Linked DNA regions of Arabidopsis thaliana. The protein of the gene in region 1 interacts with the protein of each later gene in a pairwise test. Each region holds a gene or a part of one and is shown on either strand. Other genes may lie near its edges. The genes, in order: ZFP10, MYBL2, NAC020 and VOZ1.

Region 1 (7,457 bases):
GGTTCATGAACGAATCGAAAAACATTCAAGAGAAAATATCTGTTTTTAAATTCTTTTCAAAATCAACTTGCACAAAAAGAAGAAAGTTTCTATGTTATTTCACTGTATCATTTCTTAGAATCTCATACAACATATATATTTTACACTATAAAATCATATCAAATCAAATCACTAAGAGACTATACTAATTGTTTTTCATTTTTAGACTTCTAGTAAAATCTCACTAATAGATTAGCTCCAAAATTCTTTAGACAAGTAGATATATCATATATACTTGCCCGTATATGCATCTATATATAGTTTCCCCTATAAAGCTCACCACCTTATTTAATGTACTACGTAGTGGGATTGGGAAGCAACTTGGGTAAACATTTTCCACTAATGTAAAAACTTTCACTTATTGTATTCAAAAAGTTTTTTTGGTTGTATCAATAGAAACCGGATGGTTGATAGAAATTAAGAATGAAAATACTATGGTTTATGTAATGTAAATGTGTAATATATAATTAAGTATAAACAGATTCTTCCAATGCGTTATGGGTTTTTGATATATAGAAACAGTGCAAACCTAGTTTACAGATACGATATGAAAATTTATAGATTAAGTTAAGTCTAAGCGATAGAAGAGTTGGTAACCCATGGGGCTAAAAAGTTAGGGTAGAGACTCTAAATGGTTGGAGTAGTATATAATTTTATTCTATTCAATTATCTATTGAGACAAAACAAGCGAAAGGGAATATGTGTTGTGACATATTTGGATTTTTGTGCTCTTTCTTATGCTTATTTTTATGATTTTGACAGAATGGCATGTTACGTACTGAGATGCGAATGTATGTGGAAACGAGCTTATAACGACGTTTAACAACGAGGAATTAGTCATTATTAAACTATTTCCTTATTGTTTTACAAAATTAGTTACGAACTTATTTGCCAGAGTTCCTGCAATTATGATAGGAAAAAGAACAATAATTAGTTGCTTCCGAGTTTTTCTACTTTACGTAAATATTAATTATATTATAGCTATCGAAATTCCTTTAATAAATTACTAACTAAGATCTATGGGAGAATTATTCATCATTCGATCTCTTTCTTGGAAATTGTGACAGAAAATATTCCATCTTCATGTGATTTTATTTTGGATTGTTGTTACACAACATGCTTCAAATCACTCAAGGAAGTATAGACGTGTCAATACTTTTTTTTTAATTTTTAACCAAGAGGTTTCGGACTTAAGAGTTATTAAGACCCCGTATTCTTATTATGGAAACCATAACAACTTAGTTAGTCATTTTTCCGGTAAGATTCGAATTAAGCTGAGATTTTAAAGCGCATTTAAACGATCGCCTAGGTAGTGAAGCTGGGCTATACAAAATACTTTGCTCTTGTTTATATATACAAAAGTATTTTGCTCGTTTTCATGGTTTCGTATTTTCATGTACATTATCATTTCAAATACTACTATTACTAAATAATATACTACAGAGTTCATATAGTCATTTGCATATCCAAGCTAAATCATATATATCGAAAACTTTACCCAGAAAATGAATCATAATATGGGCTCATCTGACCCCATTAACCAATCTTTATTTTTTTCTCTGTGAATAGATATCTCAACGTCGTAAACTAGAAGCTGAGAAATGAATGGTATGTGGTAGCATATGTATGATTCACTCCTGGAAACATTGTCTAAACATGTACTACTAATTATAACAAAATGACTTAGGGTGTCAATATACCTAATTGTATATGAAATTTTGTTCTCAAGCCTCAAGTGTACATACATATACTACTCAATACTTCCTTTAGATTTTTCCATTTTTTTTTAGCTGAACTTTTCATACAATTTATCCCCCAAAATAAAACAATAGAAATAAAACCCAAAAATCAATCATCAGTACATTTTAGACACACAAAACGAAGGAACGATAAATCCAAGTACACACATACACATTCACATACATACCATATGAAATGTGTTATTTTGTCTCACCATATGAAATGTTACTATTTATATATATCTTCCCTTTACCTTTGTTTTGGTAGAGATTCATCGGTCCATCAATCAAATTCCTTTTGGTGGATCAGTCCCTAGCCTAAGCTCAAGATCTAAATCCTCAAAGCGATCACCTTTGTGTTTGCTTTCCTCGTTTCTTGTAATTATGTCACTCTTACAAGATAAACTTGAAATGAAAATCGACTGCTGCGACGGACTCTCATGTCTTCGTCTTCTTTTACGGATATCCACCCTACCAATCTCTTCATCGCTACCGTGAGCAGTAATCGGAAAACTTTGGTGGATGACCAGATTCATACTCACCGAGAGATCAGTGGTGTTTCCAAGACTAAGTTTTGCTTTATGCCCGATTTTTGGCACATCACTCTCAGTCTTTCTCTTCTTTTCTCCTTCCATAGCCGGAATTTCATATAGATCACAACTCTTTTGCTCCACAACAGTACTTGGGCACGACCATGGGGAAGAAGAGGGAATATATTTAGAGTTCTTGGAAGGTTCTACAACGAAAGAAGGAGGAGAAGAAGAAGTATGTTGCTTTCCAGGCAAACCAGAAGAAACCCTAGAAGGAGTCAAATATGGTAAAGAAGAAGACGAAGAAAGATCAATAACACAAGAGTGTTGAGTCTTAAAATAATTAGGTTTGGTGTTAAAAACCAAAGTATAGCAAGAGGTTTCATGAATATTATCGCTATCTTTATGAGATGGATACTCTGGAGACGAAGAAGATTTGGGGAATAAGTATTGGTCGTCGGCTTGCTTAAGCCGTGCTCTGTCTCTTCGGTGAACGTTCATATGGCCACCGAGGGCTTGAGCCGATTTAAATTCTCTCCGGCAGAAGCTACACGTATAAGATCTTGGCGGCCACAAAGATCCGGCGGCATCGTCTTCTGCAAAGGCCAGCTCTTCCCAAGATGACTCTTTGTTGCTTTTCTTGGGGATCCAGAAGCCACCAGGTTTCTCCATTGTATATGACAATATTGATCAGAAGTTGACGATACAAACCCTAGAATAAACCTTTCTTCTTCCTTTTTTTCTTGGTTGGTTAGAGGAACCCTAGATGATTAATATTAGGTGGTGGATTACGGAAGAGATCAAGAATGGTGTAATGAAAATAATGGAGGTCAAGATGTTTTATATAAAAAGAAATTAAAACCAAAACGAGTGGAGGTTTTTTAACGATCAAAGGAATTATAGTTTATTTAATTAATTAATTGGGAAATAATAATAATAATAATAATTGGACCGTAGGGATTTTATGAAGAAAAAGATGACACGAACTTTGGATTTTAGTAAAAGTTAGCGGACTGATCTAAATCTTTTATGTTTGCTTGTTCCAAGTGGCTACCCGCAAATGAACGTAATATTTTTCCTTGAATATACAGTAATTTATAGTATTGTAATTAATGTAGTACATATATCTGTTTTAATTTTTTTTTGAAACCAATTATAAATATCCTCACGGTAAAATGGATTATATATATATATATATATATATTTGCTAAATGAAATATCATTTCAAGAATTTAGTTTATTAGAAATATTTTATTAAATGAAATATAATAGTTTATTATTAAACTAAATTGTTTCATTTAACCAAAATATTTTCTATGATGCTATTTCATCCCTGATTTTTGTGATTATGGATATATTGTTAACTTTATAACAAAACAAGAGAATTCAAGGGACTGAAACGTTTTATGACTTTTAAATGGATGACTATATACAATGGCTGATCCAAAAAAACAATTTTGGGTAAGGCATATTCAGTGAGCTCTAGGCTTAGCGCCATATATGTTACATCAAAATTTATTTTGTAGAGTAAAAAGCTTTTTAGAACAAAAAAACAACACCTTAATTTATGTCTATTTTCGTTGTAAATGTGTAATATATAATACATTTAATGAATTACAACAAATGGTAAAACTCATGCTGATAAAATACTGCAAACTAGTTCATAATCGAACTCAATAGAAAATAGAAAAAAGAATTTATACTTTTGTAAAAAAAAAATGCTACTTTGTTTTTCTGTTGTATCGGTAAAGATGAGAACAACACTGACCAAGCGAGGTTTTGGGCTTTAACCATACAAGGCCCACATGAATACAAAGTATAGAGTTTAGTTGTCCACTAAAAACCTAGTTCTATAAGGAGATTATTGCCTTGAGAACAAAATGATTTTATTCCCAATGAACAAGCAAACAAGAAGTTCAATATTTTCTTGTCGAACTTTTTGTCTTCATACCTTTACAATAAAGTGATTAACTCATTACAAATAAATTGTGAGGAATACTAGAAACTTGGATTTATTGACATGATGTTTATTGTTTTAGACATTTTATCTTCATTTGTAACATCGTGATAATGACACATGTTCTAGTTTTTTTTTTTTTTTTTTTTTGGACAAACAGATGTTCTAGTTTTATCTATCAAATTTGAGGAGAAAATATTTTAGTGTTACAAAAATATATAGAAAGGTCTTTTGTTTTTCAATGTTACTGTTAACCTTAAAGTCAAGTTTCAATCAGATAAAGAACTATATGATATAATCACAGTCATCATACAGGCAGATGAAGATAACCATTAAATCAAGACGATAGTCAATCATACTCAATTGGCTTCTTCAATACCAACGGATTAATTAATTCCTCAATAGCTAATATATATCTTTTTAATATTTTGACTATACCCAAATAGTTTAGTGGGCACAATTTCGTAACCTTCTCTTATTTTTTTACACCTCAAACAGTCAAACGTCATCATATATATAACAAATCTTTTGACATCATACGTTATTTTCTATAATAATCCAAACACATCCCCCACCTTTATAAATATATTATGATACACTTCCCATTATTCAAAGATTTTATAGCACAATTTTGTTTTTTAAAAGCAATTAATTAACTACTATAGTATACTTTACTAACAACATTTGAAAAAATATACAAAAATTAAAATTTTATCATTATCAAAGCAGTCCAGCTGCATACCATTATCAAAATTGGATGTGGATAAACTTAATTTGATAAATTTCTGTATAACTTAACAAATATTAAATATGTGTTAATAGTTATGTCAACTTATGTTGAAGATAAATCCATTGGACCGGCCGTGGTTTTTATATTAGTTTGAATGTAGCTTTCAGATTCTTCCTATACCCAAATTTCACATTCAAAGGTTGCTTATCTTTTTAACATTCAAACTCATTTAATATTTAAATACACTAACTAATGACGTGAGAAAACTTATGGATGCAGCAACAAATCATAAGACGCCACGTGACAATCTTGATCGCTCTATAAAAAACCAAACCTGCTCTTCTTTGGTCGCTACAGCAAAAATAACAATAAACAAGATAAATGGAGGGTCTAATTCCGTTAGTATACAAAGCCGTCATGCAAATCCGTTACGGTAACGAGTCGCAGCAACTTTCTTCTTCTTACTACGTTCGTCTTCCCGGTGATTCGGGTCGGTTTGTAAGATCCGATTTAGATGTATCGGGTCCTGGATCTAATTCCTCCAATAGGGCGTCGTCGTCGACAAGCACAACTACGTTTGCTGTTTACGCGGGAGTCCAGTCACCTGTTTCTCGTCAGGTTGTCACGTGATTCACACGCGCTTTTTGAAGGAACCTGAAGTTGCGTGTGAGGGAAGGGTTCGTGACTTTTGTTTTGTGCGTTTTTTTTTTGTAAGTTAGGCTTGGACCGGTTTAATAAACCTGATGTAATAATTCGGTTTGGAAAATTGATTTCTCTAAGCGTAGACTTTAACCCAAAAGGGTGGTCTCGTGGCTTTTGATTTGTCAATTGTGTGTTTTCTTTTAATTGTATAAAGTTTCTATGAATATATTTAGTTTATTCGAGAACAATTGTATGAAATGTTTAGTTAATGTTTTCATGGTATATAGGTTGTAAAACAGGTTAATTACGTTACAATTTCCTAGTTTTGGTATTAATATGCAAAAATGACATAATATCAAACTTTTAAGTAAATTGATATTTTTCACTAATGTTAATAATGAAACCAACTAACAAAAAAAAAAAAGAACAAACCAATTTCTATTTGTTTAAGACTTTGACAGTACATCACTTTTAGAAATAAATGCCATAATTATGTTATGTGCACACTGCAAAAGAAAATGAATACGCACAATTGACTATAAAGAAAACGCCTTTAGTGGCCATACGATTTTTAGCATTTTATGCGGAAGAAACAAAGTGCTATTTCTCCGAGTTACGTATGTTTCTTTTCTTCTGCATCTAGTTTTTTTTTTGCATATTCATCACCTTCTCTCAGTTTTCTTCTTTCAATAGAATTATCCAGAAAACTTTTAAGAGATGGCAGCTCCGATTCGATTCTTTGAACTGAACACTGGTGCCAAGTTACCTTGCGTCGGTCTAGGAACCTACGCAATGGTCGCGACAGCGATCGAACAGGCGATTAAGGTATCACCTTCGGATCAAACTTCGACCTTATTATTATGCCATTGGATATAAAATTTAACTTTGACACTTTTCTTGTCGATTATTTTAGATTGGTTACAGGCATATCGACTGTGCTTCGATTTACGGAAACGAGAAAGAGGTAAATTTGCTATCTACAATATATTTTAATTTATCTCTCTTTAACCATAGATGTCATTTGACTGGTCATCAAATGTATTCTCTACAAGAGTGTATATTTATTATAGTTTTTGAGGGTCATGGTGGAACAAGAATCTCACAGTAAGTGTAGCCTCTATGCTTCTAATGAAAGAGTTTTTTTTTTGGTATGATGCTTCTAATGAAAAAGGTATATGAATGTTTAGTTTGTGGGAACTAAATGTGTTCTGCTTTCTTCCTATTTTCGTTGTTCTCACACTATGATTGATTTCCATTTATTAGATTGGTGGTGTGTTGAAGAAGCTGATAGGTGATGGTTTTGTGAAGCGTGAGGAGTTATTTATCACTTCCAAACTCTGGTTGGTGTTCTGTTTCTACCAAGATTCTCTCTGGTCTGCACTGCACACACACACACATGTTCATGTTTTTTGTTTTGTTCTGTAGGAGCAATGATCATTTACCTGAAGATGTGCCTAAGGCACTGGAAAAAACGTTACAGGACTTACAGATTGACTATGTTGATTTATATCTGGTACATAACTTATAGCAAATGAATCTTGTTTACGTGTAATTTTTTCCATTTTGATGTGTTTTTGCTTTTGTTGAAGATACATTGGCCTGCGAGCTTGAAGAAGGAATCACTAATGCCAACACCTGAGATGCTCACAAAACCTGATATAACTAGCACATGGAAAGCAATGGAAGCTCTCTATGACTCTGGAAAAGCTCGAGCAATCGGTGTAAGCAATTTCTCGTCGAAGAAGCTTACAGATCTTCTTAACGTGGCACGTGTAACCCCGGCTGTTAACCAAGTTGAATGTCACCCAGTTTGGCAGCAA
Region 2 (7,561 bases), on another chromosome or scaffold:
TATGTCTGCCAACGAAGAGAGAAGATCATTGTTAAGGTTTCAAATCAACAACCATACGTTAGCACTATATAAAGATTTGATTTTTTAAACCAGACCTGTCCTGTGGAAACAATAGCAGGATCCTTCATCAGTTCCAGAGAGATTGGACAAAGAAAGTCCTCTGGAATCGTGAGATTATCCGATTTCTGTGAGTCATCGCTGTTCTCGGTAACTGCTTTCTCTAATCTCTCATCATCACCATCCTTTGATAAAAAGAAGGCCAATGATACTGAAGAGCTCTTCCAAGGAGGGGGTGATTCAAATTTCTTCTCATCTGATAAAGAATGCACTGTCTCTGGAATACTCTCCAACTTTTCAATAACTTTTCTATTACTTGAGGCATCTTTCTCCATTGGCTCAGATAAACCACTCGAGAACTTCTTCGAATTTAACGATCCATATCTCTGCATTGCTCTTCTTAACTGTAATCTTGCTAGTTCCACCTAATCACAAGCAAAAAAAAACCCTTAGAAACACCTCCATGGATAGGAAAACCAAATCTTCATACATTCTACATAATGAACAAACTTTTACCTGTTCACGGACTTCGTCAGAGATATCATATCTATCATATGTCAAATCACCTAATGCTTTCTCCAGCTTCCATGTAACACATTGGAACTGGAATGAGATCCTCTTGGCTGCCCCATCCTTCAATCAAAATCACACATCAAAGTTTAGAGAGCTCCTCATGTATATATTAATAATGCTCTTCACTACACAAATGTCAACAATAGTATCTTCCAATCTAAAAAAACTAAAAACAAATTCTTCCTATAAATTACGTTCCTGCCATGGCGAGACCAAATCTTCGTGAAATCACAAATCCATTTTCAATCGTTGAGAATGGTTTAGAATGCTTACAGAGGACTCGCGAGCTTGGAAACTAGTAGCTGAAGACAAAAGACGCTTCGCGGCTTGAAGTCCCACCACAAGATCAGACCACCAATCACATTCATGAGAATTCAACGAAGAAGAAGCATCAGATTCCGACGGCGGAGAAGAATCCCTGATTTCCTCAATCAAATGCGTCAGGAGACCGACTCGTCGCGCGAGATCGGAACAATCCTTCTTAAACAAACCAAAATTCCCCGGAATCTCATTGATTTCAGCAATAAGACCGATGAGAGAATCGGGAGTGATAGCTCCACCAGCCATTACGCCGTCTCACACGGCGGCTTAAAATTCGAATTTTTGTGACTCGCTCTCTCTCTCTCGCTGGCTCGCTTCTGACTCAGAGATGCGTCTCTATCGCTTTTATGTATCCAACGAAGCCATGTGGCGAAAAAGGATAAGTCGCTGTTACGACACCGTTTTGGTTTTAGTGTTTTTTGTTTTAAACTTTTTATCTAACTCTAAAAATGGTTTTTTCTTTTCTTTTTAGTTTACTGGCTTTATATTTTTAGATAAAAGTTTATGTGATACATTTAAATAATACAATAGAACAAACTAGATAATTGAGAGCGAGATTCACGGTGCAAGTAGAGGTTGAAGAGAAAATGATACAGTTGTCAAAAAAATAATCAATTATTATCATTTATATTAGATCAAAACTGTATAATAGAAATGAACTATACTTTTAAATTCAATAAAAAAATCCACTTTTCTATTTATTGAAGAAAATGGTTTGTTGTGTGCTTAGTTGTAAAGTAGATCTTATATGATTGTATTTTATAGTTGTGTTGAAATTTATGTTGGAGTTATGAAATTTATCTGTATGTATTATTTATGTAATCTTAAATGGTAATAAATAGTCAAATTAGTTATTTTTTCTATTTGAAAAGAAACTAAGATAAAATTTCCAGGCCTTTAGATGCATTGTATTGACATGTGTTTCTAGTATATGATCTGTCTTACCCTAGTGTTTATTAAAAGATGGAAAAAATCTTCTTTGTAATTAACTAAATATAGCTTTACATGTTTTATTTTCCCTTAAAAATAACTTTGTATGTGTAAGAAAATTTAATATCTCTTACAGCAAAAATGTTCTAGAAAAATTATGTCAATTAACATAATTTTGGTGAGTATTATATAGCCTGCAAATGGAACGGTCGAACATGACCCGGTAGATCGAATTTTAACAACATTTTAGATAATTTGAAGCATGTATACAAATTGGGACCTATAATTTTCTTAAAACTGTTTTACCACAGTTTAGTATACTTTTGATTAAAATTTATAAACATGACTTACATATAGTTTGTGACAGTCTTGTATTGAAAAGTTATCTCGGTTTAACAAAAGAAAGGTTCAACCACGACATCCACATCATATCGGCCGACGTCCATGCCCGTGACTTCTGCGTCCTACATAACAACCGATAGCAACTTGAAAAATAGACAACATTATCTTTTAGACATTTTTGGCAAGTTTGACTGGCTGGTTTCATAATTATTTTTGGACATATGCAAAAATAAAAAGATCTACATAAAGAAGAGGGTATTCGTCTGAATCAGATGAAGATTAATAACCTTGAAGTGTTTGATGAGGCATGTGATTTTTGCTTGCACATCCACACACAACTCTCCATTAACCACAATACTCACCGTTATTTCTGAAATTTATGGTGTAGTTGTACTTGCGGAACAATATGAAAGTGAAGGTGAGATCAGAGTTTATACAGTTGTGGAAACAACTTCTTTGATGGTTGTAGATCCCGCAATCGTAGAAACAACCTTAATGATGATTGTAGTTTCGATGATAAATATTGGTCCATTTTCTTAGCAAACAATCTCCTCTTCTATACTTGTCAAACATTCATATTCTTTGGTCATGCAATTTTGTTTAATATTTGATGATGTTTGAATAGCGGTTGTACAAATGTATTTACTTTCTAATTTTTATTTTAAGCATGTATGAAGATACTTTAAACAAATTCATTGTGAGTTTTGTTCAAAATATATGTGAACGTGTTTGTACTAGTTGGTGCATATTTGACCGTATAGTCTCCATGCTTAAGACATCCTTAAATCGATACATTTCATTATTTTATAAGTTAACTAATTTGCTTCCTTTATATCTTTAGTAAGTAATTTTCGTATTTATAGATTCCTTTGTGCGAAACGAGAGTTTGAAATTGCTTTTGAATAAAGAGTAAAGTGTAGTTTGGAGGAAAATGAACATACTTGTCCATTTTAAGAGAGTTAATTAATACTTCCCGTCAATGTGCACCGTTAACATTGCTGTATTAGCTATAATTTCTTACAGCTTGATTGATCAAATAAGCAGCGGTTATCGTCGGTTAGTTATTAACGATCTACTATAATACTAATCACTGAAAACAGAACCGGACATTTAAGAGAATAGTTGTTCAATGACCAGCCGGTCCAATTCAGGATTAACATATTTCAAACATCGTTATACCATCTCTCTAGTGAATATTATAATATGTGCATTTGTAATATAACAAATGTGTACAAACAAATACACCATTTCTCATCGGAATAGAAGAAGCGTTTCTTGACCTGTTGAACCATTGGTAGAGGATTCGCTAGAGTCCTGAAGGCAAAGAGCTGGCAAAGAAGTCACGGCCGGGATGAGACCAATGTTTAGGTCAGGCAAATGACTTCGTCCGGTACTAGTACTATCCTCCGAGCAATTGGTACTTGGAATGGGCAAAATTGTTACACCACATGATTCGGATACCGAAGAAGATTGATCACTAATAATCTTGGTTTCATGTTCCTTATGTGAAGAATGGAGGTGACGTCTAGAAATGTAGTTGGTGTGATGGTGGAGACGATGATTGGTTGGGTCGATTCCCATTTTTACGAGCTTCCTTTTTAGGTAAGTTTCCCAATGGATCCTAACTTCGTTGTCGGTTCGTCCTGGCAATCTTCCCGCTATCAATGACCATCTGAAAAAACATAACATCAAAATGATTATTAGCACGTACCGTTCACATTACTATTGAATTAAAGAATAAGAAGAATGAATACGAACCTATTGCCAAGAAGTGCATGAAGCTTGAGGATGAGATCGTCTTCATCTTTTGAGAAGTTGCGTTGTTTAACTTCTGGCCTTACGTAGTTTCGACCTCTCAATCGACATCTCTTACGGTGTTGCATACCTAAGAGAAGGGATCAAAATTTAACAAATTAAAACGATATATCGTCACAAAGTCACGTATGTACACATGTATATCTATGAATTCTACATCGACCTCTTTAAACTATGAATAATTTGGTGATGTGAATAGCAAAACACATGATTAATACTGTTTAAAGAGAAAATAGTTACCGGAAGGTGGGGAGAGAGCACGAAGGCGGGTTTTGTTCATGTCTTTTTCAAAGTGAGATTGGTTGAGTTATGTCTTTTTTTAAAACTGTTGATAGATTGTGAGGTGGTTTGCGAGAAGAAACTGATATATAGGATTAGGGGATGGCTTGAGGAGGTTTGACTTGGACTGGTGGGTTGAGAGAAGCGTGCATGCTCAATCAAACTATTAATGAACGAGGAAGAACAAGAAGAATACATCAACCTTGTTAATTGGTCCCACATTTAGGAGTTGAAACAAATAAAAATTGGTCCCATATTTGTTCAAATCCATTAGAATTTGTGGAATCATGAATGTGGAAGTGTGTCGCATTTAATTTGCCTTACCAATACCAATCCAAATCTCGCTCTTATCCACATTTTCGTAAAATATATGTACGGCTCCGATAGATACCTTTTGTGAAATATCAAAGATGTGTGTGTGGTATCAATAATAGATTCACTAAAATATATATTAAGCAAGAAGAAGACGAAGAAGATATTTGACTAGTGGCTCAAAATTATTTGGATGCATTATTTGATAAAATATCTGAAGCTTCCGAATATGACATGAAAATAAACAAATTAAGAGAAAATAGGAAACCATGAAATTAAAGAGTGTAGGTTCAGGAACAGATAAGGGAGAAACATGGGAGCATTCAATTGAATTTGACTGGTGGTTAGGACTTTGTATACGAGGAATTTTCTAATTTCACTCACCACTTCCCTATCTCACTTACCATCTACTCCAAAATCATATAAGAAGCAAAAGAGTTTTGTTATTGGGCCCGTTAAAGCCCGTAACTGTTAAAAGCCCATTAACAAGCTGCTTCTAATCTCCGAGGCCAAGTGAAAAACAATGATAGAGATATAACATCAATCCAATCGAATTATCTTTTAACACTTTCTGTATAAGATATTTATGTAATCTGAAATCTCAATCTATATCAACTCGTTTGTATTCTGCACTCGTAATTGTAAATTGTTTTCGTTTTAGAATTATAGCACCATTGCAAAGGGCCTCATCATCATATTGTCTTCATGGTCCAATATCTGCAATGCCAATATCATACAGTTAGTTCTAAAAGAAAAAGCTAAATTCGTCATCAACTTTTTAGTATTTTACCAACTTACGTGACAGTGGTAAACATAGCCTGGCTCTTGAGTTGCGTCAAAGGAGTAAGATTCGTTTGAGTGAATGTAAGAAAATCTAACGAGTATCTTCGTTACATGTCCCGGCATCATCTTGAATACGTTTTTCCATCCCCGCTCGTGTACCGTAACCGCGGTCTTGTTCCCTCGTGCGTATTTGCTAATCTCACACTTGACGGCATCGTTTCTTTTAGTCATGCACTCTATGAACTCCTCACTCTTCACCAATGCCGTTTGCTCCAATACTTTAAACAATCCCAAGTGAATGTGCAACGGATGGTTATCCTCGGTTAAGTTTATCACTTCCCACACCTTCATTATTGTAAGCATTAAAGATTTGAACTATACGGTTAGTGAATAGTGAAATTTTGGTTATAAATACCTCGCTTGTGCCGATTTTTGGAGTTTCGGTTACGGGAGCGTTGTAAGGCAGACCGTTGATGTATAGATGTGTTGGCTCGTCAATGCTTGACACATACTCGAACATAGCAATGTAACGTGTACGTGTGGAGGTTGATACATGAGCAGGAGGGTATTCAATTAGCTTCTTCGGAATAATCGACGTGTCAACTTCTGATTTGTAGTTGATTATAAACTTCATGACTTTGCTGTTCTCTTCCGTGACGGGATCTCCCGACGGGTAAGGATAAGGTGCATTGTTGGCAAGAATTGCCGTTTTCGATGTTGACTTTGAAAAGTCAACGAGTACGTCGACAATCTCCGACGGAGCTAGGAGAACAGATTTGGTCGATACTGGTTTCGCTAGATAAGCGGAATCGGAACCAACGACAATGAAGTCGAGACCGTTGGAGAAGAAGAACCGGAAGAACCTTGCGTTACTAGCGTTTGTGATTCGAAATCTATATTTCCGGCGGCGGACGGTTAATCTCGGCCATGCTTTACCGTTCACAATGATGGCGTCGCCGAAATACTCTGGCTGCCATTGTGGATGAATCGTTGGATTGTTCCCTGTAGCGTTCATGTAAATGGAACCATCTTTACGAAAAGATCGGTCAAAGATGACCAAAGGACGATCGAATTCGCGTCCGGTAGGTAACCGAAGAGGCGATTCGACTGAGCTATGACGGAGAATGTAAGAGCCTAACAAACCGGCAAGAAGGTTGACTCTGGTCAACCCTGCCGCGTGGTCATGGTACCACATGTTTCCAGGTTGTTGCTTGTTGACGTAATGTGTAGTCTTTTTGGTCCATTTGGAACCAGTTTCTTTGAAACCAGCGGTGAACCATGAATCTGCATTTCCATCGCTAGTTGGTTCGTGGATACCTCCGTGCAAGTGAACCACCGTGGGAATGCCGCCGTGTTTAGGGATTGCCGGAGAGATTGTTGGGTCCCAAGGGAGGATATGATGTAAAGGGAGGTGATTTCGCCACGTCACGTAGGTGTCGACGCCATAAACAGCTTCTATTGTTGGTCCAGGAACTGTTGCTGAACGCTTTGATGTACCATATGCGAACACTGGCGTGGCAGGCAAGTCTCTGTGGAATTTCTGTACTTCACAATGATTTAACTCATATCAGTGTGTGACAGAGTTAGAGAAATTCAAAAACTTAAATCATTCGAATCATTAGCAGAGTAATAAAATAGTTTAAAGGAACAGAGCACAATTAGCTAGGCCAAAGTGGTAGAAAAGCAATCATAATTATATAGTTAGTGGGTAATAACTTTCTATCAATTAATCATTAGATTTGATGATGTTCTTAGTATAATTTATCAGAACAAAACTTAAAGAGCTTATAGAAACTATAAAAAAAATGTGTATTCATTCGGTAGGAGAGCAAAATAATATTAAATTTGACTAGTTATAAAAGAGCACTGATTCGTCAGTACTATAAACCAATAGATATTTTTCTCAAGAGGACAAATAAGTGAGAGGATAAGAGTGGAGTACACAAGATGAATCAATTCCAAATCACTTTACCAAAAAAGAGCCGTAGCCAACTAAAAAGCACTTAAGTTTTCACTGATCTATACGATTTCGAATATTTAATGTTAATTTTTGTCATTAATGAGTTTAGATTAGTTTATGAACAAAGAGGAATTTGAGTATTCATTCGGTGAAGGGCAAATAATATTCAACATGACGAGTGATAAAAAG
Region 3 (7,444 bases), on another chromosome or scaffold:
AACTGTGCCTGCATAAAAATAACAACATGATCTTAGAGCTTAGGAATTGAAGAAGGAATTGCCCCCTTTTTTGGCGAAGAAACTGACCGTTTAAAATGTTCCTTATAGTTCCATTAGGACTCCTCCACATTTTCTTTAAGCCGAACTCCCTAACACGAGCTTCATCTGTCGTTGAAAGCAAAAACTGTTGTTAGTAAGTGAAAGAAGCACACTTTTAAATTAAAAATTGCAAAGGTTTAAGAATACATACCCGGAGTAATCGTCGCACACTTAATAGCCACATTATACCTTCACACAAGAAAAGAAAAGAAAAAAACTTTAAGGCAGACAATATATTCTGAAACCAATAGCCATGAACAAGCTTTATTCACAGAACAACCTCAACACTAGAAGCAGAAAGCATGGAGAATATGATATCTAAGTATAAAATGTAAAGACGACATACTTTAAAGTAGCTTCAGCAGTCTCTATAGTAACCTTATCATCAGTGAAATCGCGGTTAGGCAGTCCAAGATCAAAGTATTTGATATCCAGCTCCAGGAAAGGGAAAATAAGCTGCAAAATTCTCAAGATTTTAATCACAAAAAGAATTCAATCTGTGATTAAAGATTTAAAAAAAAGTTAAGATTTTTACCTTGTCTTTGATGAATTTCCAGATAACTCGAGTCATTTCGTCTCCTGCTTGTGCACAGAGAATAAATAAAGAGTCAAGTTTCTGAATTTATTTCATAAAACTATAACATATAGAAGAAAAGAAAAACCCGGAACAGAGCCGATCACATATACTCCAATATAAGCAAATCAATCAATCAGAGTAACGAGAAACCCATAATCGTAATCATAGATTTGAGCTAATTGACTGTTCGAACACTTACCATCCATTTCAACAACGGGATTGATCACCTTGATCTTCTCGAATTCCATCTTTGCCCGCAGAGGTTGGTAATGATCGACGAGTGAAATTGAATAGTGAAACGATCACCTCTGCTCCGCCATGAAAGACAGACGATAACAGCTCTATATCTCTATGTTGGGCCACACTCTTCCAAAAGCCCAAATAATCAAGCCCACTTATATATGGGCCTGATTCTGCAATTTGAAACCATGCTTCTCTTTTTGTATACTAGCATCATCTTTGAATTCCCCGCAGTGATAGTCAGCTTTAACAGTAATCATCAAAATCTTAAAATTGAAGAAGATCTGCTTTGGCTAATTGATTGAATAATTAATCAAAATTTGAGATAACAATCACGAGGTGGTCCTGTAGGATTAGTATATTAAAAAGAGTAATGAGTGTGACCACTTTAACAAGGGTAGAAATGAGATTTAATGCATGGAGAAAAGCAAAAGGCAAATAACGCAAATGTTTTTGGACAGTGACATTGTTCTTCTGCTATAATTGAGATGCGTGAAAAAACATGAAAGCAAGAATCTCTAGAGACACAGGGATTCCAACTTGTATTATTTAAAGGCTTTTCTTTTTTCCTTGGATCAGTTTGTTTAGCACAAACTAATATGAGATGGAAAAAAAATATGTTTTGGAAACCGACATGTAGGGAATCAGATGCTACTTTTTCTGAACAAGACTCTTCTTCTCTTTTAGAAGAATTGTGATTGATGTTGATGTTTAAGATGATGTATGATCATTTTATTAACAAACCAACAAAAAAGGGATGATGTATGTATTATCATGATACATGATACATGTCAACATGTATATCGTATGTATGTATTATCATGATTCCCCCATAGAGTCCCGCCTTTGCCAATTTCGTCATGGATATATATACACGTAAAGTTTGTTTACTATTCATTTAATAATGTCACTATTGTGTTACGTCTAATTAATTAATGTTTATTTGATACTCTAGATATCAATACTATAAGCTTGAGAAAGAGTATAGGTACTTGATACATGTGAAATGGAAATATAAAAGGGTTGATAAGATAAGATGCTTAGATCTTAATTAGCTTTATTCGCTTCCCCTTAGATCGTATCAAAGGTTGCATGTCTTTAGTTAGGCTTGCATGTTAGCTTCCTCGTTGTCTTTATTAATTAATTAATCCACATTCCTTTTGCATTTGTGATACAACATTTATATATATAGTCACATTTTTTTTTATATATAGTACTCACATTAATTACTTGTTCATATAGACTTAGACTCGATTTGTGACCAAGAAAAACAAAGTGGTGAAACAATTGGGGCATGTCTTGTTGTTGTCGTTTGATAAGTTAAACTGTTAAAGCATCTTTCGCCAAAATATTTTTCAGTTGCTATCTTTTGTTTTTTGTATCTGTCACTCTCTCTCTCTCTCCCTAAGTTATTGGTGACCACATCTTAAAGCTTCCCTAAAATGTTATTGTTATTTCTTTCTCACGGAAAAGGGAGAGTTACTTACTTGAAGTTTGAATATTATACTTTATAAGAATGGAGGAGTTTTATATATGTCGCAACTTGTGGACTCCCTCAGTATTTGATCATTTCCTTACATAAAACGTTTGATTACTTCATTCTGTTAAATTCCGTTTACAATGTTCTTCGTCTACATGTGAATTATATATATTAGCAAACGAAAAAAAACCATGTAAACGAGACATCTAATATATGACATGAGTTATATATATCATACATGTGAAGAATGAAGATGTCCTTATTTTTTTAATTTATCTTTTGGATCGAGGCCGAGAGTCGAGGCAAAAGAGATTTGACCGGAAGTTAGTAAAATTGAAGGGCCGAGAGAAAGAGAGTCAAAGATTGTGTGGGAGTAATGATGTAAAAGAGCCGAACAACGTCTTTAATCCATATGTAAAAGGGACTAAAGAAGCCTCCCAACACTAAAGCCAAAGTCGACTTGGATGCCTCCTGCTTTTTTATTCTCCCATTTTTTAATCATATATATGAATTCAATTTATAAGTATTCTTATTATAAGACCATAACAACATAAAACAATATAACAAAACTGTCAAACCGAAAAAAAAAGAAAAGAAAAAGCCGAGTGTTTAGGTGTCGCCAGGTAGATTTGGTTTGAGAAGAAGAGATGGGTCCCCTAAACTGTTGAATCATAAAAAGCCTTCATTTTTGGTTTAAAGCAAACGTTATAAAAATCCCTCTATAATGATTCATGACCCACGTTAAGGTCTAACCGGAATTATAAGCATATACATTCATATATGTGAGTATTTGTGAGATGGGGCCTTCTTGCTAAAGCTTTTTCCGTCTCTCCTCCTACTAGGGTTTTCACACTTGCAGAATCTTCAAAAGCCAGAGTTAGGTTTTTATTTAAAATATATATATTGGTTTTAGAAAATATGTGTGATGAGTATCATGACAAACACTGACCAAAAAGCAACCCAAAGTAAGACAAAATATTAATCTCAGAAGATGCCAATCCCATGGCATACTTTTACACATTCCCATATCATATCTTCTTCAGAGTCTCATCTTTTTAATTATATATAGTCACCTTCATATGTCGTACGAACATCCTAATCACTTTAATTAATCTCTCTCATCTCTTTCTCTCTCGTTTTCTAACGCATACACTTTGAATGGCGCCCATGAGTTTGCCTCCAGGATTCAGGTTTCATCCCACTGATGAAGAACTGGTGGCTTACTATCTTGATAGGAAGGTCAACGGCCAAGCCATTGAGCTCGAGATCATCCCAGAAGTTGATCTTTATAAATGCGAGCCATGGGACTTGCCTGGTACGATCCAACTCTTTATATCTCTCTCTATATATGGTTCAGCTTGTTTATGTCAATCTGACGTTATAGATTACATATATTGGTCATGATGCATTCATACATATGATATTGGAGGTTTTATGAGTTATTTATTTGGATAATACGCGGAACAGAAAAGTCATTTTTGCCGGGAAACGACATGGAATGGTACTTTTACAGCACAAGGGATAAGAAGTATCCAAATGGCTCTAGGACGAACCGTGCGACCCGAGCGGGTTACTGGAAGGCCACGGGGAAAGATCGTACAGTAGAATCAAAGAAGATGAAGATGGGAATGAAGAAGACACTGGTTTATTATAGAGGAAGGGCTCCTCATGGCCTTCGTACTAATTGGGTCATGCATGAATATCGTCTCACGCACGCTCCTTCCTCCTCCTTGAAGGTAAATTATTTCCCATGCACAAACTTCTATTAACATATATATCTATATTCATTTCTGATCTAATTTTTTTTTTTTTGATAAACCATATCGACTAATATTAATGTTGATCTAAAACAGGAGTCGTATGCATTGTGCCGAGTGTTTAAGAAGAACATACAAATTCCAAAGAGAAAAGGGGAAGAAGAAGAAGCAGAAGAAGAGAGCACTAGTGTAGGAAAAGAAGAGGAAGAAGAAAAGGAGAAGAAGTGGAGAAAATGTGATGGTAATTATATTGAAGACGAGAGCTTGAAAAGAGCATCCGCGGAGACATCTTCATCAGAGCTAACTCAAGGGGTCCTTTTAGACGAAGCAAACAGCTCATCCATATTTGCTCTTCATTTCTCATCTTCTCTTCTGGACGATCATGATCATCTTTTCTCAAACTATTCTCATCAGCTTCCATATCATCCTCCTCTTCAACTCCAAGATTTCCCTCAACTTTCTATGAACGAAGCAGAGATTATGTCAATCCAACAAGACTTTCAATGCAGAGACTCTATGAACGGGACACTTGACGAAATCTTCTCTTCTTCCGCCACTTTCCCCGCTTCCCTTTGATAAATCCATATCTCATACTATCATCTAGTACTTCTTTTCTCAACTTATTTAAATATACTCGGGTACTTCATATATAGTATTTTTTTTTTTACTTGTTTTTTGCTTATGAATTAGTTTGACTGGTGAAAAAGGGTGAGGAGGTTTGTGGAATTATTTTTTCTACCACAAAAAGAAATTGCATTATTTTATTTTAATTTTTATCATTAGGTGTGTATGGTACTTAATCACTAGAGTTGGTTGGTTTTGTCATATATAGGAGGGAAAACGGAAGTAAAAATTGTGTAATCGATCGACATTACTTATTGGTTTGCATACTTGTAGACTTAAAATCTGGCATGGGCGTCATGGCAACGCAAATTTGGAAAACTTTTCGGATTATATATGTCCGACTGCGGATCAATATCTTATTTAACTATATATATGTGTTATGAATATGAAACAAAAGTTTTAAAATCTGAATGAATAAAGAAAAAATTCTCAAGAAAAGAAGCTGAAAACAAAGAAGAGAGAAAAATCGAGACAAATTTCACTACAAACAAAATAAATTCTTTATTAAAAAAGATGAGAATTACAAGACAATGATTAAAGACATCTCGAGTTTATGATACTATATATAGTTTGTGATTGATTTGGAAGATACAAACAACATTATCATGAAGAAATCTCTAGTTTATGATACTTTTAATTTAATTTAACCAAGTGATAGTGGTCTAATAGTTTTCACTTGAAGACGAATCATCGTTTTTGTCTAGGTCATACATTGATCTCTCTCAAATGCAAGATTATTTAATCATTCTTATTATACTATCCCTAAAACAATCTTACTATAAATGAATCTTTAAAATATATATATATATATATATATATATATTGCAGTTTCAAATCCAAACATATAATAAGATAATAATTTGTTCGTTTGAAATTCAACATGATCGTATATGCATAAACTTGCAATAAAACATACTAAACTTTTTAAATTTTGTATTCATCAATTAACACTGATCATAATCCCATCCTCTAAAGTATAAACTCTAGTAAAACCTCTATAAATTAATACTCGATAAATTAATAATCTCTATAAATTAAGAAATGTTTTTGGTTCCGAGTTGGGATCAGTATAAAAAGTGACACAAATCGATAAATTAATAAGATAATAATTTTTTTGAAAATCCTATATAAATATATGGTCTCATCAATATCATAAATTAATAATTATTTAAATGTATCAATTATATATATACATTATATGTAAGAAATTTCTTTGAAATATAATTCTAATATTTGTTTGCTTAAATTTGTATTTATCCTTATTTGAAATATAGTTTTAGTATTTTACTATATCAAAAACTTTTGGTGTTATTTTCTAAATATGATATTATTTTTTACTTGTAATTGATTCTTGAAAGATATTTTCTATAATGAAAAAAAATCTTATACAAATTTTTGAAAAGTTACTAAATTAGGAAAAATTTTCTATTAATTAATAAATATTAAATTATCGATAAATTAAAACCCCTCTAAATTAATAAAATTTTGCAGTCCGAACATTATTAATTTATAGAGGTTTTACTGTATCCAATATTTGAAGGAAAAACGTTCCAAATCAAAAAATTTGTAGAACTTAAAAACATTTTATGATGCATGGGAGATTTTGGGCTTCAACTCAACAAAATAGAGTAAAGCCCATTATAAAGCCCACAAAGTGGGCCTTTCATTTTGACGTCAATATGGGAATAATACCGGTTCTTTCTGTTAACGACGACGAATCTTCGTCTTCCCCTTGTTCTTCTTCTTCCTCTTCATTTTACTTTCTCTTCCCGATTTCTCTCTGTCCGATTCACCTTTTCCTCCGATCTCGGTCTCCTTAGATTCCGGAATAATCCCCTCAAGGCTTGGCTTAGTAATCGTCGTTTTCTCCGCCATGAGTTCCAATACGGCGTCGTCCAGCGCGGGGGCAGCCGGATCGGGAGATTCTTCCGCCGCTAGGAAGAATTCAAAGCGACCCAAGTGTATTTATCATCTTCCCTTCGCTATCTTCTTCCGATTATTCATTATGGCTTATCGTTGACTCTTCTGTCTTATTCGAATTGGATCAAATTCTCTCTGGACTTGCTAGTTTTTCAATAACAATTTGTTAACAGCTTTGGATTAGCTCAAATTCTTTGCAAAATTGTCGTTACAAAGATGGTTAGGGAACCATGGTCAAAGCTATGGCTAAAAGGTGTGATTTTGTTGGCAAATATCTTTTGCAGATTCGAAGTTCACACAGCAGGAGCTTCCAGCTTGCAAGCCAATTCTAACCCCTGGTTGGGTTAGATTTCTTTCTAATCTCTATTGATGTTTGAGACATCTGATTTCTGTACAAGGCGCAACTAAAAGCTCCTTTTTTTACATGTTTGTGCTGTTGTGCAGGTCATTTCGACATTTTTGATAGTCAGTGTTATCTTTATTCCCCTTGGAGTTATCTCCCTTTTCGCTTCCCAGGATGTAAGTAGTTACTAAAGCATTGCTGCTACTCATCAGATTCTCTTCCATATCTCACGTGTTTCATCTCCCATGTTTAGGTTGTGGAGATCGTTGATCGGTATGATACTGAGTGCATTCCGGCACCTGCTAGGACTAACAAGGTTGCATATATTCAAGGAGATGGAGATAAAGTTTGTAACCGGGATCTTAAAGTGAGTTACTTCTGCCGCCACGTTTGTTTTGTTCTTT
Region 4 (9,088 bases), on another chromosome or scaffold:
AGAATAAAAGATGAAGAACTAGAAAAGCAAGTGGCAGATCTCAAGAGCAAGCTAGAGGAGCTTGAACAACTTGCTAAGGCACGAGGACTGAGCGGTATTTTCCAGTTAAAACCACAGCCTGGTACTACCGCTAGTGGGAAACCAGACAAATCCAGTTGAATCATCATCATCATCATCTTATTCAATCTAGAAGATTCAAACCAAAGTTAACAATACGGTAATGATTCTTTTTCACAAGAGTTGAGGAGTTTCTGATTCTCTCCTCTATATACATGTACCATCCATCATCAAAAACAATCTGCTTTTAAATTATCAAATTAGGTGACAAATAAAAAAAGTTTTGATGTTGAGGTTTTGTCTTTTCAACATTTGTTGCTTAGATTTGGTCTTTTGAGACCAATGGCTCGATTTTAGGTAATGTTGGATAATGACGAATTCATTATGAAAGAGACATTGAGATGTACCAAATTACTTCTTTCTCCAGATTACAAAATGTACATCATATTTATCCATGATCTAATAAGGTCAAAACTATAGCGACAACTAGTTTGGTTTTGTGGTAAAAGGCGATCAACTCTTACAAAAGAATAATGTCTTTATCACAAAACGATTTCATTTTAAATTGGAGACGAAAGGAACCTATGGGTATGTCGTTAGGTTTATTCCACCAAGAGTCTGAATACTAGAATGAGAGAAAAAAGTTAGTAAAGAAAAAAGTGAGAATAGCTGTTGGAGGTAGAGAAAGGGAATATATTATAGGGGGAACAATCATTTGGGCAAATGCTTAGAAATTCCATAAAAGCATATCATGTTTTCTCATAACGACGATCAAAAAGGAAAAAGACAACACATCGATTTATAAAAACGCATGCTACTTATGATGAGCTAGTAGAAGTTTATGTTGTGTGATATAATCTTAGGAGATTGTGGTAATCAAAATGGGCTAACTCCTTCAGCTAAAGTAATTTATGAATTAGCTTAGTACACTTCGTTTATAATAACTCGAATTTAAATCATACAAAGAGTTAAATGATTTTATCTTACTATTTAATATTAAAAAAGTGATACATTTACCAGACGTTATAGTTAAAACAAAATCTAAATAAAATAGTTTTGGAATTCTAAATTTACACCAATGCACAACAATAAATTATATTGATCTAAAATCATGGAATGATCATAGTCTAAATTTATCCCATTTGAGAGATTTAAGAATAAAAAATTTACACACATTAGTAATAAGTAGTTAAGTATATTTATTCGGGACAAATTTTCGAATTTACCAGACGGTTAAATCGTTATGGTGATGTTCTTCGAAGCATACAATTTTCGTAGATAATTTAACCTCGAGAGTGTAACAATTTGATAAACATCATTTTGTTCGTTTTTTCCAACATGGGATACATGCTTTCTTCTACCATTAAAGTATGGGCTCGACGTTAAGCATCATCTAGTTGAGCCACTCTTATCCCTAGCTTATTTTGAATTTGAGTTGGATGTTTTGTCACATATGATATAGAAATCTATTATGGTGACATTGAATTCACCTTGGAGACCTTAAAGAAAAGAAAAAGAAGGAAAAAAACTTCTCCACTGTCACTAATTTGGTCCGGATCAAAGATAAAGTGTAGTGGTGGACCGATCTATATTCCAACCAGGGATATATAAGATGTAAGGTGCATACTCAAAGAAAATATTGTCAATAATTGGCTGTTTAACTGTGATTAATATATAATCGTACTCAGTCAAGAATTGGTTGTTTAAAATTAGTGGAGATATTATTTCTTATAACCTAGTTAAAAGTTGAATTTGAATATTTTTTTAGAGTTCATACGACGAACATTATGTATTTGAAATGAGAATAATAAGCAATAATAGATAAAGAACGATAGAATATGACCATTGAAGAAATTGAAAGTAGATGGTATGATGAAAATTGATGAGCATCACAAGATAGGAATATGGAAAACATAGTGGAGAAAAGCTAAGTTATATTCCTTCCTTGCCAATATCTCCTTCTTTTACACCTTCTTGTATCTTAAAAGAAAATAATAATAACTTAGTATTCACGACACTTGTCCAAATTCTTTACCCAAGATTCCTTTGTTATGCTTGTTTGTTTTTTCCTCCAAAAGTAATGCAAATTTACATTAGGTACAAACAATCTCATTGTTAAAACTCATTGAAAGGATATAAGAAAACAAATGGGTCCAAATTATTTTAAGAAATGACCAATTGTCAAGCGCAACCAAAATTACGGTTATCAATCTAATTGACTTATCTTGAAAATATAATACGTTACATTTCCAATATTCCTTTTTTATTATCAAATTACGTTACATGTAGTCGTAGACTTGAGCACTAATTAGCCGTTGAATCAAAATCTTTAACGTGGTTCTACTACGATGCTATCATAAAGTCTATGTCAATTTATCAACAAAATATACATTCTCGAAAGAAATGTTATCATGAATCGTTTTTTAGTTTTTTTTTCCTACGACTACAAGTACAGCTACGCAAAGTTGCAAACCACTCCCCTCCATACACATTAACTTGGACTAAACCCGATGATCATACAATGTCACAAATTTTAGCGTTACTACATTAGTCTTAACATTTTCTAATATTTGCAAATGTTCCATCCCTAAAATGGATGGTAGTTTTAATTTCAAAGCCTTTTTTTACACTTTTTTGTTTGGTATTTGTTTTAATTTTCTCGTATGTATAAAATTTGCTTAGCTTTAGCCTATCTTGAATTCTATCATCGCATATTCGCATGGTTATATTATATCTTACAAATCGTGTGACCCAAACTCTGATTTTGGAAAAATTCTTGGCGACTTCCCTAATGTATTACATAGTCTAAAGAAAAACTTAAATTTCTAACTCAAATAGTATTTAAATTTCCTCAAATAAGGAGCAAGTAGTGTATGGAGCCAATAGCATTGAAGAAAATGCCTAATTTTCTAAAGCATATGTGCAACAAAAAAAAAAAAAAAACATAATTGAACTCTGGTTAGTTTAGAAAACAAAACAAAAAAAAAAGATTATTTACACAACAAATAGTAAATTTTAAATGCTCATTTAATATTTCTTAATATAAATAAATGCTATAAAGAGAAAAAATGAACAATAAAAAGAAAAGAATCCATAATAAACAGTCCAAATGGCATTTTTTTCCAAAATAATCATTAAATTCCTTAAACATTTCCCCACAATTTGATAATTTTTAAATTTTTATATTTTCTCATAAATTAGTACATTGAATTTAGCTCATAAAAAAGGAAAAAGAAAAGTGGAGGGTGAAGAGAAGAAGAGAATCCAGCAACGTTTCTTTATTTCCTTTGTGTTTTTTTTTCTTCATAATCTCTCTCTTTTTATTTATTCATAATTTTTACTCTCTCCATTTCTTCATTACTCTTCTTTTTATTTTCCGGAGATTTTTCTCTTTGCCTTTGTTATTTGCTGCTTTTGCTGCAGCTACAGTGTAAGTTTGATTTTCTGGGTTCCTTCAAACTCCAAAATCTCGCGTCGCTTTTTGCTTCAGAATCGATTTGTTCTTGTTACTTCGATCTGTTGTTCTTTTTAACTCTGTGCATGATTCAATTTCGTGTTCGTAACCTGTTTTTTGCTGCTTGTTTAGTTCGACAATTAGGTAAAAAAATGACGATCCCTAAAACTTATGATCCTTTTAATCTTCGTTTAGCTACTTCGTTCGAGATCATCTAGGGCTTTTGTTGCTTCATCGATTTTGGGTTTTGATTTACTGTAAATGTTTTGGTTTTGTTTATGTAATCTAAGCATGTACCAATGATTCATGAGTGATCATGTTTGTTATAGGAGCAGAACTGATGTGAAGTGTGTATTTTGAATGTGTTTTTGGTTTTGTACAGAGAATCTTGTGTTTTTGTGGTGGGGAGGTGAGATTTCTTATGACGGGGAAGCGATCAAAGACTAATTGCAGATCTGCTTCTCACAAGCTCTTCAAGGATAAGGCTAAGAACCGTGTTGATGATTTGCAAGGCATGCTTTTGGATCTTCAGTTTGCGAGGAAAGAGAGTAGGCCTACTGATGTTACTCTTCTTGAGGAGCAAGTGAATCAGATGCTTCGTGAGTGGAAATCTGAGCTCAATGAGCCTTCTCCAGCTTCATCCTTGCAACAAGTATGCTTTCGTTTGTTTCAAATTTGCAATCTTGTTGTTTCTTCTGACTTGCATGGGTGATTTAGTTTTCTTTGTTGTTTCAGTCATTGTTAGCTGTGTCATTTTGTTTTGCTTAAGCAGGGTGGTACTCTGGGGTCTTTCTCATCAGATATTTGTCGGCTGCTGCAGCTCTGTGATGAGGAAGATGATGCTACCAGCAAATTAGCTGCCCCCAAGCCCGAGCCTGCTGATCAGAATCTCGAAGCTGGCAAAGCTGCTGTCTTCCAAAGGGTGAGTTGCTCTTTAGAACCAGTTTTTAATGGTGCTTTAGTTGTGTTTGGAGTCCATTATTTTGTTTAAATACTGAGATCGTGGTGAAAGTTTTCAGGGATACAATTTGGTTCAGGGGAAGTCAGAACATGGATTACCATTGGTTGATAATTGCAAAGATTTGTCCTTAGCAGCTGGTAACAATTTCGATGGAACGGCTCCTTTGGAGTATCATCAGCAGTATGATCTGCAACAAGAGTTTGAACCAAACTTCAATGGTGGTTTCAACAATTGTCCCAGTTATGGTGTAGTAGAGGGTCCTATACATATCTCTAATTTTATCCCGACTATTTGTCCTCCACCCTCTGCATTCTTGGGTCCAAAATGTGCTCTTTGGGATTGCCCTAGGCCAGCTCAGGGATTTGATTGGTTCCAGGATTACTGCAGCAGCTTCCACGCTGCACTGGCTTTCAATGAAGGGCCACCAGGTATGAATCCGGTGGTGCGTCCTGGAGGTATCGGCCTAAAAGACGGTCTGCTTTTTGCTGCTCTTAGTGCAAAGGCTGGAGGGAAAGATGTTGGTATTCCCGAATGTGAAGGAGCTGCAACTGCTAAATCTCCATGGAATGCTCCAGGTAGGCTTTACTCTCTTGGAATTCATTCACAAGTATGTTAATTGATCACCATTCTTGAGCTGATCATACTCAAATCTTGATGACTGTAGAGCTCTTTGATCTCACGGTTCTGGAGAGTGAGACACTAAGGGAGTGGCTATTCTTTGACAAGCCAAGGAGGGCCTTTGAGAGCGGGAACAGAAAGCAAAGATCTTTACCAGACTACAATGGTCGTGGTTGGCACGAGTCACGTAAACAGATCATGGTCGAGTTTGGAGGGCTGAAGAGATCTTACTACATGGATCCACAGCCTCTGCACCATTTCGAATGGCATCTTTACGAATATGAGATCAACAAGTGTGATGCTTGTGCCTTGTACAGGCTCGAGCTCAAGCTTGTTGACGGGAAGAAGACTTCAAAAGGCAAAGTCTCAAACGACTCAGTGGCTGATCTGCAGAAGCAGATGGGAAGACTCACAGCTGAGTTCCCTCCAGAAAACAATACCACTAACACCACCAACAACAACAAACGCTGCATCAAAGGAAGACCAAAAGTGAGCACAAAAGTCGCCACCGGGAATGTTCAGAACACAGTAGAGCAGGCAAATGACTATGGAGTAGGTGAAGAGTTTAACTATCTGGTCGGAAATCTAAGCGACTATTATATCCCCTGAGACGAATGTGGAAAAACTCAGGTTTAAAAAGCTGTTTGCTTACCATTTAATTAGGCAGCAGCAGAAGAAGCTTCTACATATCGTAGGGCAAAGTAATGGATTTTCATGACTCGTATCTTTTTTTTCTCTTATATAATAGTTCTCTGTCTATCTATGGAGATTATGTATATATAACAAGAAGTGGATGCTGAAGACTGTCCTGGAGTTAGGAATAGTAAATGTGACGAAGGAGACTGCTTTTTAAGATTCAGTCTATGGAGGTGAAGACATATTTACTGACATTCCGGTTTATATATTTTGATGCATTTTCGACTCTCTTCTGCGATATAATGCAGATGACAAATTATGTAACCGATGGGGAAATACGGTTTTGAGTATCAGTGTTGTTCTTATAGAATCAGGACCTTGTTCAATGAGATCATTGCTCTTACTTAGTCTATGTTTCAGATTTGGGGTTTTGTTAATAAAAATTCTCTGCAGAGCTTCAAAATCTTAAGCATCGTTTCAAGAATCATGTAATCACGTTCTCACTCTTCTTAAGATATTTGCATATCATAGACGCCAAGTGTTACAAGCAATCAATCAAATCATATTCTACATATATTGTACTAAAATTCATCTAAAGAGAGACAGGAACTTCGCTATGCTTATTGTGGCAATAATGGTCTGACCAATGCAAAAGGACGATCTGAATTCACAGACATTAATAATTCCAACACAACTACTTTTTTGGGAGGGTGACTCTTAAGACCAGGCTCAATCAGCCCTGCAAAGCAAAGAATGACACAACACATAATCAGATAAACTTAAAAGGATACGAATAGCATTGAATTTAAGGAATTGAAAGAAGAACCATGGTGTGTTACCAGGCTTGAGTTTTTTTCCTCCATAAAGTTCTCTAGCTAAAGGATTAGCAGCCCAGTGATTCACAGCCACCCGGCTTGTCGGTTGGAACCCTATGATTTTACCTTCGGATGATAAAACTACCTGCTTCCATTAAAGAACCAGACGAAGATGAAGTAGTAGTCCACTTAAAAGAATTCAATTCATCATAATTCACTGGAATTACCTGGTAAGTAGCGATATCTTGCGCAGATGCCTTTGCGTCTTCATTGAGTATTTCCAGAAGAGACGAGCTTGTAACAATGTGATCTTCAACAGACTTAGCTCTGCTGGTTTCTTTCAAGTAGTCAGGTACTTCCCCTATCCAGGCACCTATGCTGCTTTCTAGTGTGATCTCCCCTACCCAGCTGTAGGCATCCTTGAGCTTGTTGACGAGTAATCCGCAGAATGAATCCAACTGCTCATTTGAGGTTTCAGAATTTAGTTTCCGAGAAAAACAGGAAAAAGCACCACAAAAAATAATAAAAGGTTGATCTCATTCTCTCATTCTCAGTATAGAGAGTCCATACTCATGCAAAAATTATTAACCAAATAACATTAGACATGAAATATATATAGGTCTTGGATTGTCTTTACTTTTTGGATGGGTTAACTTATTCATGGCAAGGGATTTACAAAAAAAGGCTGCACCAGTACTTAATCTTATGTGATCATCAAATGAACTAGAGCTGTCCTGAAAAGCTATTAATGTCTACGTGCAATTGTTGTCGTACACATCTATATGAATACAACGTGTTTTGGTAATCCATACCTCAGAGGAATCTGAAGATTGATGAGATAACAATTCACTCTCTGACCATAAAATCTCTTGGCGTTTTCCGGGATACTTCCTCTCGCTTTTCTGAGGAAGACAGAATTGGGCTGCAGCACTCACAGCAAGAAGAAAAATTCCACTGGCCATGGTGACAGATATGAATTTCAACAAAGACAATCCTTTCTGTCAATAGAGAATGAGCAAACCAAAGAAGTGAACATAAGTTTGACAGGTAAAAAGCTACCAAAGAAGCCAATCTTATTAACTCATAACATGTCTCCAAAATAATGGTAAAAACTCTAATAGTAAACATTAATATATTCTGCAGACTACAAATATATTTAACATATTTCATCAGGCAGCTGTAATGAAGCACACAATTAGACAGAGCAAGTGATTATCATGGAGAATACGGATTATATACAGACAGTAATATAGCAAGGACTGGCAATTGGTTCTGATTACATACACAATAACAGACACCAAAGTATAATATCAGAAAGATTGGCTAAATTTTAGCAGTCCAGTAGTCATTACCTTTTCATTGGGTAAGTTTGCATAATTTCCAGGAACATCACATGGTAGCTGTTTCCTGGGAAGTGAATATGTGTCTTCAAAGTAAATATCCAATGCTTCAGCTAATCCAACCTAAGAGTTTTATACAAGTCTCAGGAATGTAGAGGCCTCAAGAAATAACATGCACAAAAACAGACACCTTAGTCACCACAGAGCACACAAAATGCAGCAGTACAGGAAATTTTATTCCCATGATTGATAATATTCTTTCATCTTGCTAGGTTCATTCCCACACAACATATCAGCATCTCGTTAAGTGTATAGGTAAATGGGAATGACAACTCTTATGACGGATTCAACATTGTCTAAAGACGGTCTATCCATAAACTTTGAACAACATTCGACGTCTTTATCTATACTAAACAGAACAATATAACATAGCTCCATGTTATCATATAGCAGCAACAACCTAGACTGCTAGCCAGACAAATATATAGAGCGAGAGCAACATTGCAATTTCTAGTCTTACACACAGCAAAAGCATAGACGGGTAGGTTACATAAATAAAGAGAAAACGTCATACCATTTGGGAGTGAGTTAGAAGAACTTCCCACTTATTCTCACTGGACTTTCTCCAGCCCTCAAGCTTTAAGTCTGCAAGTATTGTACTATCCATTTCCAGTCGATATGCGGGTAAATATTCACTTGCCCAACTACTAAATCCAGGGCCACCAATTTTTTCCAACTTGGAATTGGCAGATAAGTCCCACCACCGGCTTCTTTGCTTTGTGTCTGCAAGTTTGAAATTTTCCTTCCTTGACTGGTAATACTCAAGCAAAAGTTTGGTATTCTGCTCATCATCAAATAACTTATGCAGGACAACCGAGCAGTCTCTTGAAGCAATCCTCCTGCGTTTAGATAACCACTTCATAAACGGAAACTTAGCTTTTCCCAGATAATCATCGAGGAAATGCTTCTCGGTGCTTTGAAGAGCGGAGATGCATATAACTTCTGCAATAACAGATATAACCCGTTCATCTGATGAGCTAAGAGTGAAGGATGTAGAAACCTGCTGATACCAAATGAATAAGAAAACTGAACCTATCAGTATCAATTCCCACTTGCAAGGCCAGTATCACTAGAAACATTCACATCAAAGCGAAGTTAACCTCTCGAGGGTTTTCGAAATCTCCCATTTCTCTTTCAGCTCCAGGTG

Evidence for each region.
Region 2: the proteins of ZFP10 (region 1) and MYBL2 interact in a two-hybrid assay, tested with the Arabidopsis thaliana proteins (one large-scale study listed by BioGRID).
Region 3: the proteins of ZFP10 (region 1) and NAC020 interact in a two-hybrid assay, tested with the Arabidopsis thaliana proteins (one large-scale study listed by BioGRID).
Region 4: the proteins of ZFP10 (region 1) and VOZ1 interact in a two-hybrid assay, tested with the Arabidopsis thaliana proteins (one large-scale study listed by BioGRID).

What each region holds. Positions count from the first base shown.
Region 1 is NC_003071.7:15,825,641-15,833,097, forward strand, and holds ZFP10 (zinc-finger protein 10), read right to left. Parts: upstream 3,145-7,457; 5' UTR 2,981-3,144; coding exon 2,066-2,980; 3' UTR 1,776-2,065; downstream 1-1,775. Other genes in the region: AT2G37750 (uncharacterized protein), read left to right, coding at 5,377-5,625; AKR4C8 (NAD(P)-linked oxidoreductase superfamily protein), read left to right, coding at 6,355-6,462, 6,551-6,601, 6,901-6,977, 7,063-7,150, 7,227-7,457.
Region 2 is NC_003070.9:26,791,909-26,799,469, forward strand, and holds MYBL2 (MYB-like 2), read right to left. Parts: upstream 4,622-7,561; 5' UTR 4,319-4,621; coding exon 4,279-4,318; exon of another isoform or gene 4,109-4,278; coding exon 3,982-4,108; intron 3,896-3,981; coding exon 3,475-3,895; 3' UTR 3,144-3,474; downstream 1-3,143. Other genes in the region: AT1G71020 (ARM repeat superfamily protein), read right to left, coding at 1-5, 96-482, 574-690, 904-1,197; LPR2 (Cupredoxin superfamily protein), read right to left, coding at 5,293-5,346, 5,428-5,757, 5,828-6,952.
Region 3 is NC_003070.9:20,277,000-20,284,443, reverse strand, and holds NAC020 (NAC domain containing protein 20), read left to right. Parts: upstream 1-3,491; 5' UTR 3,492-3,554; coding exon 3,555-3,711; intron 3,712-3,863; coding exon 3,864-4,132; intron 4,133-4,249; coding exon 4,250-4,729; 3' UTR 4,730-4,937; downstream 4,938-7,444. Other genes in the region: ICDH (isocitrate dehydrogenase), read right to left, coding at 1-8, 88-165, 251-288, 446-555, 635-678, 876-924; AT1G54320 (LEM3 (ligand-effect modulator 3) family protein / CDC50 family protein), read left to right, coding at 6,651-6,738, 6,982-7,040, 7,142-7,216, 7,294-7,407.
Region 4 is NC_003070.9:10,025,781-10,034,868, forward strand, and holds VOZ1 (vascular plant one zinc finger protein), read left to right. Parts: upstream 1-3,302; 5' UTR 3,303-3,487; exon of another isoform or gene 3,488-3,893; 5' UTR 3,894-3,932; coding exon 3,933-4,163; intron 4,164-4,283; coding exon 4,284-4,433; intron 4,434-4,530; coding exon 4,531-5,047; intron 5,048-5,136; coding exon 5,137-5,699; 3' UTR 5,700-6,210; downstream 6,211-9,088. Other genes in the region: AT1G28510 (Optic atrophy 3 protein (OPA3)), read left to right, coding at 1-159; AT1G28530 (deneddylase), read right to left, coding at 6,347-6,465, 6,566-6,686, 6,769-6,999, 7,354-7,539, 7,894-8,004, 8,456-8,944, 9,042-9,088. UniProt on the Arabidopsis thaliana protein: Transcriptional activator acting positively in the phytochrome B signaling pathway. Functions redundantly with VOZ2 to promote flowering downstream of phytochrome B (phyB). Down-regulates 'FLOWERING LOCUS C' (FLC) and up-regulates 'FLOWERING LOCUS T' (FT).